Linked DNA regions of Sus scrofa. The protein of the gene in region 3 interacts with the protein of the main gene of each other region in a biochemical or structural test. Links are inferred from orthologs where the notes say so. Each region holds a gene or a part of one and is shown on either strand. Other genes may lie near its edges.

Region 1 (5,071 bases), on a different chromosome or scaffold from region 3:
GCTTTTCTGGTTCTGCTGCCTAGTTTGGGGGCTCTTCCCTTCCACATCTTAGTTTGTGCTCTTGAGTGACAAACTGGAGTGGAGAGCTCTGTTCCAAAGGCCACGGAGAGGCCGTGACACTCACTCAGACGTAAAGGCACTGCCCTGCCTGTGACCCTGGCTGGGCAGCGCTGGGACAGGGAGAGGCTTTCACACCCGATGCCACTGAAACCCCAGACTTTCCCACTAAGCCCGCGCTACACAGTGAGCGGAATCATATCGCTGTTGGCCAGTGTTCCCCAGACACAGGGCATAGCGAGCGGTAATAGTAAACCCTGGTTTCTTCACGTCTCCTGGCAACCAGTTTCGAAATCCATTAAGACCCTTGGAATTCGGGATTTAGCTTGTTGTTCTCTCTCTCTCCCCCTCCCTTCTTCCTAGGAATTCAGGGGGGATTTAGTCGCTGTGAAGCTCTAAATCTCAATTTCCAGTGTGTGGGGGGTACCCGTTTTGGGGGGGAAATAAAATTGTATACAGATGCCTCGTGTGCTACTGGCTAGCAGGTCTAGTAACATGAATGAAGGTTTTCGCTGGAATTATAAGGTCCTACTTGAAGATTCAGGGACCACAGAGCATTATCTGAAATCTAAATGCCCCGAGGATGAAACGTTACTCAGCTACATTTACAGTGTCAGAAAGAGCGATAAGGAGGGTGATGTTAAGAGTGGCGAGCACTGATGCCTGAAGTTGCTACATCTCCGGAAACCCCAATTTACCGTTTCACCGTCACAAATGAGAGCGATGGCTCTTTGAGATCCCGGCGTTAAATAAAGCAAAACAAAACAAAACCCAAAACAAACTCAGCGCCTGGGGAGGTGGCAACCGGGGTAGACGGCGGCTGCAAGTTTCTGCCGAAAGAGGGCGTTGGTCTAAGACTAAGAGAAGTTTATGGACAAGAACGCCCAGTCAAATGAAAGACCATTTTAAAATACTTTCAATTTATTTTAATTCGCGGGACCTAAGTGGTGGAATTCACCCTTCCAAAGTAGCAGGTTCACATTGCAAATGACCTCGGTGAAATGTTAACCAGGTTCAGAGGGTCAAGTTCCTCTAGGTCCTGCCCTGCAGCGCAGCGCACTCCGGCGAGGCTCTTCTGGTCACTGACTTCTTCAAGGCCGTTTCCATCCTCGTCTCCAACACTGCTGTGGCTGGGACCAGTGGCGTGACTGGGTCTCGGACGCAGGACCTTTCTCGGCCTTGGAGAACCTAGAGCACAGGTTCTCGCGAGCCGCGGAAGAAAAGCGGTGGGATTTCCCAGCGCAAGGACTGGAGCGGAGGACGCGACTCCACCCAGGGGCCTTCGGGAAAAAGCTTTCGGAAGAAGGTCTCTTTATGTAGTTACCTGGTTTAGCAAACAAAGCCCAAGGATGCCTTGGAGATGCTTTTCAAGCCTTCTGCCACCTCCAGGCGAAAAAGTGTTCTCTCGCCTTTGGGAGCAACAAGTTTCGCTTTTCTGCTCGAAGCGCGCCAGCGGAGGTGTTCGGTGCGCGGGGAACACTGGGTGCGTGGGGAACGCTGGATGCGCCGCAGCACTTCGGCTCCGGCGCGAACCCGGGCTGCCCAGGGGGAGGAGGCCGGCGGGGGGCGGGGGAGGACGCCGGGGCTAGCAAGGCGTTCCAGGTCCGCGACCTAGACGTCTGCATCGGTGCCTTGGTCCTTGTTCCCTGACCTTGAGCCAGGGGGGCTGGGAAGGTCGACTGCCCGCCCCGAGTCGCTTCGGGAGGGAGTGTGGCTGGAGTGAGAGAGAGGTGAGAGCTTTTTTTTTTTTTTTTTGCAACGAAACCACTAATTTCTAGGACCACCCCATTCCTCTTTTTTATTTTTTTTTTTTGCACGTTATGTGTGTGCCTGCGCGCGTTTCTTTACTTTCAAACACATTTCCATTTTTAAAGGCCGGAGCTGAAGAGAGGGCTGCCGCACGCGGGGCAAGGGAGTGGCGGGGACCCTGGTGGCAGTGTGGAGCGGTGGGGGCTCCTGCTGGTGCAGACGTGGGCGACTGCGGCTTTAAGGAAAAGGCCGAGGTCTGACGGGGAGTGGGAGTTAGGGACAGGGGAGGGGTGGGAAGAGTAGGGGTGCGGGGAGGAGCCCTGATGTAAGAATGTTAATGAGAGGCTCCCCAGCCCAGCCCCCACCACTCCCCACTCCCACCCTCCCCACCGGTTGGAAATACAAGCCCAGCCTCGGCGCGCCTTGTGTGGTAACACGCTCCGCCGCTGCCACGCTATTTAAACTCGGGTTATGGATCCAGGAACCGGCGCGAATCAATGAGATCAAACGCGAGGGAGATGCACCGTCAATTACAAGCACCTGGACAAGTCTAACTTTTTCTTCTTTTACAAATACGCTTTCAAAAGAAACCTTAGCAACGCCCAAATAAGAAGCCACCTCTAAGCAAAATAGTATATATAAAGGGAGGGCGAATATATATATATATATTTATAAAAAGTATATTTATAATATAGCTGTATAGGTTTACACCCGGTGAACTTTTTCTTTTCCTTTCTTCTTTTTTCTTTTTTTTAAACGAGTGGCATTGCAAAGGAGGACTCTTCCTCTCTATCTTTTGGCGAGTTAGTGAAGGGGGTATTCTATTTTCTTAGAGCGCCCAAGGGGGCGCAGGGACCTCGGAGAGTAGAGTGGGGAGGAAAGAGGAAGGGTGGGTGGGGGGCAGAGAGCGAGTCCGCAGCGAGGGCAGGCGCTTTCCTGCGGCACGATGCCTTCCCTGCTGGTGCTCACTTTCTCCGCGTGCGTACTGCTCGACTGGGCGTTGCTGGTCGGCTGCACGGGTGGCGGTGTTGGCGGGGGCCCGGGCGGCGGGCGCCGGGAGAGAGAGGCGCTGCCGCCGCAGAAGATCGAGGTGCTGGTGCTGTTGCCCCAGGACGACTCGTACCTGTTTTCCCTGGCCCGGGTGCGGCCGGCCATCGAATATGCACTGCGCAGCGTGGAGGGAAACGGGACCGGGCGGCGGCTTCTGCCACCAGGCACTCGCTTCCAGGTGGCCTACGAAGACTCGGACTGCGGCAACCGCGCACTCTTCAGCCTGGTGGACCGCGTGGCGGCGGCGCGGGGCGCCAAGCCCGACCTCATCCTGGGGCCGGTGTGCGAGTATGCGGCTGCACCGGTAGCCCGGCTTGCGTCCCACTGGGATCTGCCCATGCTGTCAGCCGGGGCACTCGCAGCCGGCTTCCAGCATAAGGACACCGAGTACTCGCACCTCACGCGCGTGGCGCCAGCGTACGCAAAGATGGGAGAGATGATGCTTGCCCTGTTCCGTCACCACCAGTGGAGCCGCGCCGTGCTGGTTTACAGCGACGACAAGCTGGAGCGGAACTGCTTCTTCACCCTCGAGGGGGTCCATGAGGTCTTCCAGGAGGAGGGCTTGCACACGTCCGTCTACAATTTCGATGAGACCAAAGGCTTGGATCTGGACGACATCGTGCGTTACATCCAGGCCAATGAGCGAGGTGAGCAGAAGTGCGCCCCGGGGCCCCCCAGCCCTAACTCAACCACTCTGCTCGGCTCTCCCTACATGCCCCTCCGCGCCTCTGGGACCCCACTACCCTCTACGGCACTGAACACCTGGAGAGGGCGCGTGCACGGAGACTCTCCCTAGTGTGAGCTGTCTGGCTGCAGCGACCTTTGACTATCGCTCAAGGCTGTGGTGGGGTGTACGTAGAGGGTCCTGGGGACATCAAGGAGCCTGGGGGAGGGGGTGTGTGAGCCTGCAGCTCACTAGTGTCTTGGTACGACAGGTGCTGTCAAACCTCTCTGGTTGTTTCTTTTGCGCCGGGCTTGCGGTTTAGGGGCCGGCTCACTACAGGTGCCTTGCTCCAACCAGGGTCTGAAAGCGTGACGAAGCAGAAAAACTTGTTACCCGCTCCTTTTCCGAGGTGCGTCCCCTCCTAGTGAGGAAGTGTAAGCCGATGCTCTACAACCGGCGCGCGGCCAAACGGTCAGCTCCTATCTCCGGGTTTCCCTGGCTGCTGCTTCCACAGATCCCCAGCTTTCTTTTAAAGAGTCATTGCATCTCCTTTCTCATTCCTTCCATGCCCCCCCATCCCCGCGCTAGCCTTTTATGAACGGGCTTCTGTGGTTTCCACCAAAAATACCTCGCAGTGTCTGGACTCAGGCGACCCTCACTTTCCTCCGGGAGGCAGCTAGGCTTGGAGAGCGCGCGCGCTGGAGAAGTGGGGCTGAACCTCTTTTCCACGTGACTCCCCAAGTTTTCTCCGCAGGTATGTGGGGGTTTGAATAAACACCAAACTGGCCAGAGTTCAAGGCTGAGGAGAGTGGCCATGGGTAAAGGGAATGGGAGGAAAAGCAGTGGTCACGGATACATAATCAGGGAAGCGCCAGTGCGGCTCATTTTACTGCGGAGTAGATCAGCGAGAATGCGGTCGTATTCCAACATAGCACAGTCCCCTCCTTACTAATATCAGGTTTGGAGTGCACAGCGCTCGGGGAATCTGGCCTGTGCAGTTGCTTTGCGCTCAAGCTCCTGAATTGCCGGTGATGCAGACCGGCTAAAGCGCTCCAAGACCCCACGCGGGGAGACGCAGGATGAGAGAGGCCGAGCCAGGTGTGGGGCTAGCCCACGACTTGGCACGGCTGGGCACCTGGGCGCTGGCCTTGGGAGACAGTGAAACCGGAGGATGGGGGCCCAGGAACAGGTGAGAGTGGGCAAAGGCGCCGTGGGGGATGGTGCTGCGGCCACCACCCCCCTCTTCCCGATCTGGCTACCTCAAACTTGGAGTGAAAGCACTCTTTAGAGCGAAGAGATGGGGAGTGTCGACAGTGGGGTTGCATGGCCAAGTTTTGAGCTTTCGAACTCCAGGCTGTCTGCGCCGAATTCCTGCCGGCCAAGCAGGCAGGGCGGCCCCCTTCTCCGATTATGAAAAAGGGCACTTGGCACCCAAAGGCTGAGGATTTGTCACGCTGGGCGGAGAAACCCACATCCACTTCTCTCCCATTCCCAGTACCCAGATTACTGCAGACATCGGGCTGCTCTAGTCCTCGGAACCTGATTCCTCAG
Region 2 (5,126 bases), on a different chromosome or scaffold from region 3:
ACCTCATGGTTCCTAGTCGGATTCGTTAACCACTGCGCCACGACGGGAACTCTGGAAATCTGGATTCTAGCCTCTGTTCTGCTGTTAAAAAGCTACATAGGGTTAGGGGAGAGGGGCTGTGGAGGAAGCTATGGACTTCCCTCTCTGGTACTCAGTTTTCAGTTATCTTTAAATAATTGAAAGTGAACAGTACATTAAGAGTCTTCCTAGCCCTGAAATGCTGTGATTTTGGCAGAGATCGTGTCATTTGGATTTAATTCTCTCATTAAACTGTGTGTAGTTGCTTGAACATTATTATTTGGTTGACTGGTTCTGAAGTTAGAGCCATGTCCTTTTCAGATTGTCTCATCACCCTTTTGACTGTTCTAGCCTCCTTTTCCTTGCTCAGATAGGACAGAATTTCTTTATACTAATAGTGTCCCTAACTGGAACTGGAGTTACATGTCTGTTAAAGAAAGAGCTAAGTTTTCCTAAGGGCTGGAAGCAAGAGACATTGTTGGAGGGCTTGCCTTGGGCCTCTGCACCCGAGGGATTCCAGTTGTATGCTCTTCAAAGGTAAGCCTGTGTCATTCAGCTTTTTGTCTTCACCCCTCAGCTTGTGCAAGGCGGCGGGTGTTCAATAAAGAAATATCCTTCCTAAGAATAAAATGGCATCATCCTTAATTTCCCCCCCAACTACTAGGTGTCGCCTTCATCTCAGAGAAACTAGGCCCCTCCTCTCCCCTCACACCCACCTTTCTCCCTCTACTCAAGGGACTCTCTCAGCTTCTTGGCACTAGGATTTTGGGAGAAGTGGCTTGAAGTGGGAGACAAACTGTGGCTCTCAGCAAGGGGAGGATAATGGGTTTATGTGTATCTCCTTTGTGACAATTTGAGGAAAACTCCCTAAGGCCCCACTGCAATCCCTCCCAGCCACCATGATATCATTCCTCACAAGCTGTTTCCCAGATCAGATCAGCCCTCCCTCCAGATATGGGGTGTCTGGGATGAGACTTCTAGGCTTGAAGCTAGGCAGCGGGGTGTAACCCAAGGGGGACACCGTGGGCTTCCGTTGCTGGGGGTATATGTTCTGCTCAGTCCCTGAGCTTTTATCAGGTGCGAGCTGGGGCTCTGCAGGGAGGCAAAAGACAGAAGAGGACGTTCTGGGGTCCAGCCCTGGAGCAGATGGTGCAGTGGGAGCCCAGAGGGCTACAGTGGCCTCTGAGGACCTGGCAGGGCTCAGAGGATGCTGGGGCTGGGGGTTGGGGACAGGAAGAGGGAGACTGGAGGGTTGGGTCCTGTGGAAGAAGGAGGCTCACAGACTTCGAAAGGACTCAGGAAAAATCTGCCCTGGTCCTGGAGGGGGCTGCCTTCCAGGGAGCAGTCTTACTGGTGAAGGAGGGAGAAGTTCCCGGCAATGAGGAGGGTGGTATGGTTTCCTAGGTGGAGGCCAAATGAGGATACCAAATATGTGGGTCCTGACTGCTTCCTGGAGACTGTGGAGTGTTGGAGGGACTCAGGCAAGTTAAGAAAGGAGACCCTAAGAAGAGTGGGAGACGCGAGGGGCTGGGACGAGTGACTCTGGGCTGGTGGGAGGGTGAGAGATGGAGAGCCGAGCGGGGTGGGCCAGGGGCTTGGGGGAGACTGGGGTAGGCCTTGTAGTGAGGGGACGCCCGGAACCTCGCCGGCCTGAGAGGCCCTCGCGCGGAGCCCCCCGACTTGTCACCGGGTGGGCTTGGGATCTGGGACGTCCCCGGTCCCCCGGGTGGAGGGTGGGGGGAGACAGCAGGCGCCGGAGGGTGGGGCCGGGAGGGAGGAGGAGGGGCCGCGGGGAGGGGGCGGGGAAGGCGGGCGGCCTGCCCCGGGAGTCACATTCGGCCGCCGCCGGCGCAGCGAGCGGAGACGGCGGGGCCGCGGCGACCTGACCTGGACGAGCGGCGCGCCCGGGGGCCCAGGCGGGGGCGGGAGGAAGCGCCGGGCTGCGCCGGCCGCCCGGGCCCAGGAGAAGCGGAGCAGAGAGGAGCTGGGACACGGGCGGGGCCGCCGCAGCTCCGGATGGGACCAGCGCCCTGGGCCCGTTAGTCCAAGCAGGAGCTTCAGGAGAAGCCTTCACAGGGAGATTTACCCCTGCCTTTCCCTCCCCTCCGGCCCAGGCCTCGCTTCGCTCCCCGCCTGCCCATGGTCCCAGTCCTTCCGCGGCGCTGGCCCCCTCCCACCTTGTCCCCTCGGTCCTCCTTTTCGCAGCTCTCTGCTCCCCTAGCCCCTTCAGCTGTGGGGTCCCCCCAGGCCTTCTCTTTGTACCAGTCTCCCCCCCACCCCCACCCCCACCCCATCCCAGTCTCCGATCCCCTTTTCCTTCTCAGCTTTGGATTCATCAGCCGACTTCACCTCCCACCATTCCCATCCCAGTCGCAGGCCCCCTTGGTCCCTCCCTCCTCCTGCCACCCTACTCCTAGTCCTCCCCTGTCCATGCCCTAGGTTGGTGGACCCGCTCAGTCCCTGGGGTTCCTCCCATCTCCTCCTCCTCTCCCATCCCTGCCACTTTCTGTATCCCAGCCTACCTGGCTTATCCTCGCTTCTCTTCCTGGTAGTCTTTAGGTTCCAGGCTGGGTGGTGCTTGTGCCTCCTCCGTAGGCCAGAGTGGCCCCAGGTTCTGGGGGTGGTGGGGCTGCCGCTTTCTCCCCATGGCACTGCCATCACTCCTGCTGTTGGTGGCAGCCCTGGCAGGTGGGGTGCGTCCTCCCGGGCCACGGAACCTGACGCTGGCGGTGGTGCTGCCAGAACACAACCTGAGCTATGCCTGGGCCTGGCCACGGGTGGGTCCTGCTGTGGCACTAGCTGTGGAGGCGCTGGGCCGGGCTCTGCCCGTGGACCTACGGTTTGTCAGCTCTGAACTAGATGGCGCCTGCTCTGAGTACCTGGCACCGCTGCGCGCTGTGGACCTCAAGCTGTACCATGACCCCGACCTTCTGTTGGGCCCCGGTTGCGTGTACCCCGCTGCCTCTGTGGCCCGCTTTGCCTCACACTGGCGCCTTCCCCTGCTGACTGCGGGTGCTGTGGCCTCTGGTTTTTCGGCTAAGAATGAGCATTACCGTACCCTGGTGCGCACTGGCCCCTCTGCTCCCAAGCTGGGTGAGTTTGTAGTGATGCTACACGGGCACTTCAATTGGACTGCCCGTGCTGCCTTGCTGTATCTGGATGCTCGCACAGATGACCGGCCTCACTACTTCACCATCGAGGGCGTCTTTGAGGCCCTGCAGGGCAGCAACCTCAGTGTGCAGCACCAGGTGTATGCCCGTGAGCCAGGGGGCCCTGAGCAGGCCACCCACTTCATCCGGGCCAACGGGCGCAGTGAGTGTGGCCCAGGCTATTTCAGGGTTAGGGGAGGAGGGTCGCTGTGTCCCTGGAGCTCAGCGCTGGGAGACAGGCTTCGAGGAGCTGAATGTGGTGGTCGGGATCAGGAAGCACATGTGGACTGAATCCCTGGGCGAGGGCTAGGGGCTTGTGGACATCTCAGGCAGATGTGAACAAGGGATAAGATAGCATGAGGGGTGAAGCTTGTGTTGGGGAGATCGTGGGATTGGGGGGGGTTGAATTTGAGGAGCAATCTAGAGGGTCCTGGAGTCATGAATGTGGCTGATGGTCACTCCAAAATGTGTGCCTGTCTGGGCAGAGACTTCTCAGACTGGGCCACTAAGCCCTCTTGGTGGCACAGAAAGAGTGGGGACTCCATGAATGGGCTTTGGGGTGCCGCAGATTTGGCTGGGAAATATGGTAACGCTCATGTGGAGAGAAATTCTGAGCCGTCAGTGCCTTTGAGCTTAGAGAAGGGCAGGGCAGAGTGGGGAGCGAGGAGGGCTGGGTGGGGAGCAGCAGGCAGGGCTCGGGGAAGGGGAGGGGCTTGAGGGTGAGCTCCCTTCCTCTGGGGTCTGGAGTCCGACTCTGACTTTTGCCAGATGGTCCATACAGCCCCCAGGGTACTTAAGACAGAATCTCCAAGGGGGAGGGATGGGGAACATCTGCTGGGTGGTTGATAGTTAGGGCTTCTGTTCCTTGCTAAAGATGGAAACGCAGATGGTCAGAGAGGGGGCGGTTCAGGGTCCTGGATACTTTTCTCAGAGCGCCCCTCTGTCATGTACCTGCTCCCAGTTGTGTATATCTGCGGCCCTCTGGAGATGCTGCATGAGATCCTGCTTCAGGCCCAGAGGGAGAACCTGACCAACGGGGATTATGTCTTCTTTTACCTGGACGTCTTTGGGGAGAGTCTTCGTGCAGGCCCTACGCGCTCCACAGGCCGGCCCTGGCAGGACAATCACACCCGGGAACAGGCACAGGCCCTCAGAGAAGCTTTTCAGGTATCATTTGAGCCACGCTTGAAGGGGCGGAGGGAGAGGAGCTTCTTTGGGGATTATCTGTCTCTCACAGGCCCTCAGAGAAGCTTTTCAGGTATCATTTGAGCCACGCTTGAAGGGGCGGGGGGAGAGGAGCTTCTTTGGGGATTATCTGTCTCTCACAAGACCCCACAGAAACAATAAGGAAGGAATTGTGAGCTAAACAAACTGAGACTTTCCAAGTCTAGACTCAGATTCTTTTTACTTCCACACCTTTGTGCCTCTTTCTCAGTGTGTCTGCCAAGGCTGCCTCCCAAGATCCCGAAACACTGACTTTGCTCAGTAGCGGTAGTAGATATACTGTGGGAGAGAAAAGTTCAGAAGAATATCTAGTCCCAGCCCCTGGGAGGGCTTCCACCCTTTCTGGAGAGGCCAGGCATGATTGCATTACAGTTGGATGCAAGTATGAGAAAGGTTGTGATTATGTGTCCTGGAGCAGACCCTAAGAACCTCAGTGGTTCAGAGGAGAGAGTCAGGGTGGACTGAGTTTAAGGAAGGCTTTTATCAAGGAAGTGAGAGGAGTTCCCGTCGTGGCTCAGCAGTTAGGGAACCCGACTAGCATCCATGAGGACTCAGGTTCGATCCTCGGCCTCGCTCAGTGGGTTAAGGATCCAGCATTGCCATGAGCTGCGGTGTAGATCGTAGATGCGGCTCAGATCTGGAGTTGCCATGGCTGTGGTGTAGGCTGGTGGCTACAGCTCCAATTGGACCCCTGGCCTGGGAACCTACATATGCTGCGGATGCGGCCCTAAAAAA
Region 3 (4,608 bases):
CTCACACACTTGCCAAGCACGCAAAGCTACAGCCCCAGGTCGGGGGAAAGTGAGGAGGTGCACAGAGGCATCCCGAGGGGCCGGGATGAGGGCAGGGTTTAATCGGAACTGTGTCTAAAGGGCTTATTAAGGAAGCATCCTACAAAGAGGCAGCAGGGCCTGTGAACTGGGTGGAGAATAAAGACACCAGTGTCAGACCTAGGGTTCAAGTCCTGGTTCTGCCCGGTGATGAGTGACGCTGGGCAGGGAACAGACCCTCTCCGTCTCAGTTCTGTCCCTCTGTGAATGGGGACCATATCCCGGAGCTGGTGATGAAAAGGAGAGAATCCACATATAGCTCTCAGCCCAGTGTCTGGCACATTCCACCCAACCAATAAAGACAACCGTGGTGAGCGCCATGCAATTAGATAGTAATTCACACTTTAGAATTTGCTCACCTATTCATAGCTCTTTGGAGCCGCGTTTGGGGCTGCACTGCTGGGCTCTCCTCCCTTCAAGTGCAGGCTTGCCCCCAGGATACGTTGCATCAAAGAGTGTGCAGCATTGAGTGCAGTGAATGGAGGCCCCTCCTTAAACGTGGACAAGCTCACCCCTGGTGTTTCTCTTGTTGGGGGGGGGGCGGAAATGGAGGCCTCAGGGGCTTATCGCTTTCTTAGCCTCAGAGAAGGATGTGGGCGGCGTTAAGGGAAACTGCATGGACCCTGGTTGTCTCCCACCCTCACTCCATCAGCCAACTTTGCCTGGGAGCTTGCCTGGAAGGTGTGAGGCCCTCCATGCTTCAAACCCAGAGGCTGAGCTTCTCCAGATGAACATGCCGGAGAGTTCCCACAGTGGCTCAGTGGCAACGAACCCAGCTATTATCCATGAGGATGCGGGTTTGATCCTTGGCCTTGCTCAGTGGGTGAAGGACCTGTTGTTGCCGTGAGTTGTGGTGTAGGTCATATGCAGCTCAGATCTGGTGTTGCTGTGGCTATGGGTCGGCGGCTGCAGTTCTGATTCAGCCCCTAGCCTGGGAACTTCCATATGATGCAGGTGTGACCCTTAAAAGCCAAAAAAAAAAAAAAAAAAAAAAAAAAAAGGCAAATGCCAGCATCCTCTCAGGGCCCATTTCCTGCAGCTCCTCGGAGGGAGCTGTGCGGGGGTAAGATTTGCAGAGCGATGACCACGTTCCCCAAACTCTTCTGGGTGTTTGTATTTGGGAGCAGGGTTCTTGGGACATTTGTCACATTTAGTTCCGGCTGACTTAGGACTCTAAAAAAGTCCTCTGTCTTCACCTGATGGCTGAGAGTGACAGCCAGGGAGCAAGGGCAGCCCTGTGGAGGGAAAGGCCTGCCCTCCCCACCCAGGAGTCAGGTGTGAGGTCAGCTGGAGCATCTGGACTAATTTGTCCCTAGCCGCTGGCTGCCTGCCATTTCCTCCTCTCCCGCCCTTATTTGGAGCCCCTGACAGCTGAGCCGCAAACCAGCAGGGGAGCTGGGTGCCAGCCAGCCGTCACCCTGTGCTTCCCTGCCTGGGTCCCGTTGCCCAGGAGAAAGAAGCCCGAGGCATCGCTGGGAGATAACCAAGGACTCTTTTTCGCTCTTCTCACACCTTTGAAGTGGGAACCTCTTGAGGCAAATCAACAAGAATGTGGCTCTTGCAGCTGAGGGTCCCGGGGGTTGTTGGGGCTGCTCAAGGTGGAGGGGCTGTGACAAGCTGGCTGGACTGATAACTTTAAAAGGGCATCTTCTGCTGGCTCCTCACTCAGCGGCTTTATCACTGCAAGTGACAGAATGGGGAGGGTTCCATCCCTCTTGCGCTCTCGGAGAGCCTGGGGGCTATAAAAGAGGTGGCTCAGGGCAGCTGGAAGACAGAGACGGACGAAAGCCAGGAGGGGGAAACCAGAAAGGAGAGGGAAGAGGAGCAAGTGGCAGACCACTCCCTGACCGACGCCAGCATGGGCTCCTCCACCATCACCGTGAGCTTCCTCCTCGTTCTGGTGTTTCAGTTCCCAGGGCAAACCAGAGCGAACCCTGTGTACGGCTCCGTGTCCAATGCAGACCTGATGGATTTCAAGGTAGGGCCAGGAAAGGGGCACAGTCTGGGGTGAGGGGGCTTTGGGACCTGGTGCCCGTCAGTGAGATCTCTCCCTTTCCCGCTCTTCCTTTTATCAAGAATTTGCTGGACCACTTGGAGGACAAGATGCCTTTAGAAGATGAGGCTATGCCCCCACAAGTACTAAGCGAGCAGAATGAGGAAGTGGGGGCCCCTCTCAGCCCCCTTTTGGAGGTACCTCCCTGGACCGGGGAGGTGAACCCAGCCCAGAGAGATGGGGGTGCCCTGGGGCGGGGCCCCTGGGACGCTTCCGATAGATCTGCCCTTCTGAAGAGCAAGCTGAGGGCACTGCTTGCTGCCCCTCGGAGCCTGCGGAGGTCCAGCTGCTTCGGGGGTAGGATGGACAGGATTGGAGCACAGAGTGGACTGGGCTGTAACAGCTTCCGGGTAAGAGAAACCAGGGGTGGAAATGGGACGGGGAGGAAGGACATGGGGTTTCATTGATATTCAGGCCTTGTGAAAGAGTACCACTAGGGATGCCCTCAGCAGGAGAGGGATCAGCATTAAGGCTCATTCTCTTTGGGGAGTTCCCGTCGTGGCGCAGAGGAAACGAATCCGACTAGGAACCATGAGGTTGTGGGTTCGATCCCTGGCCTTCCTCAGTGGGTTAAGGATCCGGCGTTGCCGTGAGTTGTGGTGTAGGTCATAGACAAGCCTCAGATCTGGCCTTGCTGTGGCTGTGGCACAGGCCGGTGGCAATAGCTCCGATTCGACCCCTAGCCTGGGAACCGCCATATGCCTCTGGTGCAGCACTAAAAAAAAAAAAATAAAATAAATAAACAAACAAACAAACAAACAAAAAAACCACATTCTCTTTGAAATTTCTGCGCTAGCTGGGTGGGAGCTCTGTGACTCTCGGAACAATGACGTCATCCTCAGCTAGAGCCTGCTGAGAAAATGATAGGCAAAAAAGAAGTTCCTTGCCATGAGCCCTGGGAACTTAAAAAATTCACCTTCTTCCGGCTGATTGGCATTTTATGCTCCTCCCCAAAGTGTCAGATTCCCCCCAAAATGGAAATTTACCAGGATCGACTTTACTAGCTCCTCATGTCAATTCGTTTGCCAGTTCATGCAACTCAGGCAGTCGTTGGGCTGGAGAGGGGACCGTAGGAAGTAAGAATTGTCCTGTGAAGCTGACTTTTCCAGGAGAGCCAGGTCCCCAAGCCAAACACGTTTCTGTTCTCTTTGTAGTACCGAAGATAACGCCAGGGAGGAAAAGGCGAGCCAGGCCCCGGCCAGACTTGGAGAGACCCTCATCCCCTGGGGTCTCTCTCTCATCTTTGTCCTGTCTCGTTGCTGTCAAGTTGAGGTGTGAAGAGCACCCGATTCAAGGGGCAGCCTCCTGTCAACATGTCTCACATTTTAGGCTAAATGTAAAGTGATTTCATTGCGGCTTCTCCACCTCTCCCACTCCTGCATTAAATTTTAGTCACCTGTTAACTGACATTGGTTTCAAAACCAATAAACTTCAGCACCACGGACAGACGCTGAAGGCTGTGGTTGGTCTGATTTCTTTCAACTCCCGAAAGGAGTTTAGTCTGCTATTCCTTGTCATTTTACCTTTCCTCAGAGTAAAGAATGCTCAATTCCTTTCCCCCTCCTTTGTAAAAAATAATAAAATTATTTTGGGGTGCAGTTTTATTTTATGCTCACAGCAAAGCTGAACAGAAAGTAGAGATTTCTCATGTAACCCTGGCCACCCCCGATGCACGGGCTCCTCAATTATCAACATCCCCCCCCAGAGTGGGACATATGTTCCCATCGACGTACCTGCACTGACACAGCAGAGCCACCCAATGTCCACAGTTCACAGAGAGGTCATTCTTAGTGGTGTATATTCAATGGGTTTGCACAATTTTGGGCTCCCTTCATTCCTCTGTGTATGGGTGTTTGCGTGTGTGTGTGTTTAGGGCTTGGGGACTCAAAACACAGCTCTTAACCTGCCTTCATGCTCACTGCCACCTCACCATGGATCTTGAAAAATCCCCAGGAGACCCAAAGGGTATTTATCTTTACTCAGATGTGCTCACATTTAGGGTACTTATTTATTGAAAAAGAAAAGTTACAAATATCAGGGCTTTTTTGTTTTGTTTTTTTTTTCTTTTTATAGTCACACCTGTGGCATATGGAAGTTCCCAAGCTAGGGGTTGAATCAGAACTGCAGCTGCCAGCCTACATCACAGACAGAGCAACGTGGGATTCCAGCTCCATCTGTGCCCTATGCCTCAGCTTGTGGCAACTCTGGGTCCTTAATCCACTGAGCGAGGTCAGGGATTGAACCTGCATCCTCACGAACATTTATGTCAGGTTCTTAACCCACTGGGCTACAACAGGAGCACCTAGGTTTTTTTTTCTAATTACATCTAAAGTAGCTCGTATTTGATAGATCGTTCTTGCACCTAGTATTTTTTGGTTTCAGTTATTTATTTTTTTTTTTAGAGACAATATATTTAAAATGAGGATCCTGGGAGTTCCCATTGAGGTGCAGCAGAAAGGAACGCGACTAGTGCTCAT

What was found. The genes of interacting proteins can lie anywhere in the genome.
Region 1: the proteins of NPPA (region 3) and NPR3 form a complex in vitro, tested with the Homo sapiens proteins (4 studies listed by BioGRID, with this or other methods). The link is inferred for Sus scrofa from reciprocal best matches to the Homo sapiens genes NPPA and NPR3.
Region 2: the proteins of NPPA (region 3) and NPR2 form a complex in vitro, tested with the Homo sapiens proteins (3 studies listed by BioGRID). The link is inferred for Sus scrofa from reciprocal best matches to the Homo sapiens genes NPPA and NPR2.

The regions. Positions count from the first base shown.
Region 1 is NC_010458.4:18,839,747-18,844,817, forward strand, and holds the start of NPR3 (atrial natriuretic peptide receptor 3), read left to right. Parts: upstream 1-1,793; 5' UTR 1,794-2,752; coding exon 2,753-3,503; intron 3,504-5,071. UniProt on the Homo sapiens protein: Receptor for the natriuretic peptide hormones, binding with similar affinities atrial natriuretic peptide NPPA/ANP, brain natriuretic peptide NPPB/BNP, and C-type natriuretic peptide NPPC/CNP.
Region 2 is NC_010443.5:236,507,147-236,512,272, forward strand, and holds the start of NPR2 (atrial natriuretic peptide receptor 2), read left to right. Parts: upstream 1-1,848; 5' UTR 1,849-2,663; coding exon 2,664-3,330; intron 3,331-4,128; coding exon 4,129-4,334; intron 4,335-5,126. UniProt on the Homo sapiens protein: Receptor for the C-type natriuretic peptide NPPC/CNP hormone. Has guanylate cyclase activity upon binding of its ligand. May play a role in the regulation of skeletal growth.
Region 3 is NC_010448.4:71,918,535-71,923,142, reverse strand, and holds NPPA (natriuretic peptides A), read left to right. Parts: upstream 1-1,797; 5' UTR 1,798-1,936; coding exon 1,937-2,056; intron 2,057-2,154; coding exon 2,155-2,481; intron 2,482-3,285; coding exon 3,286-3,297; 3' UTR 3,298-3,586; downstream 3,587-4,608.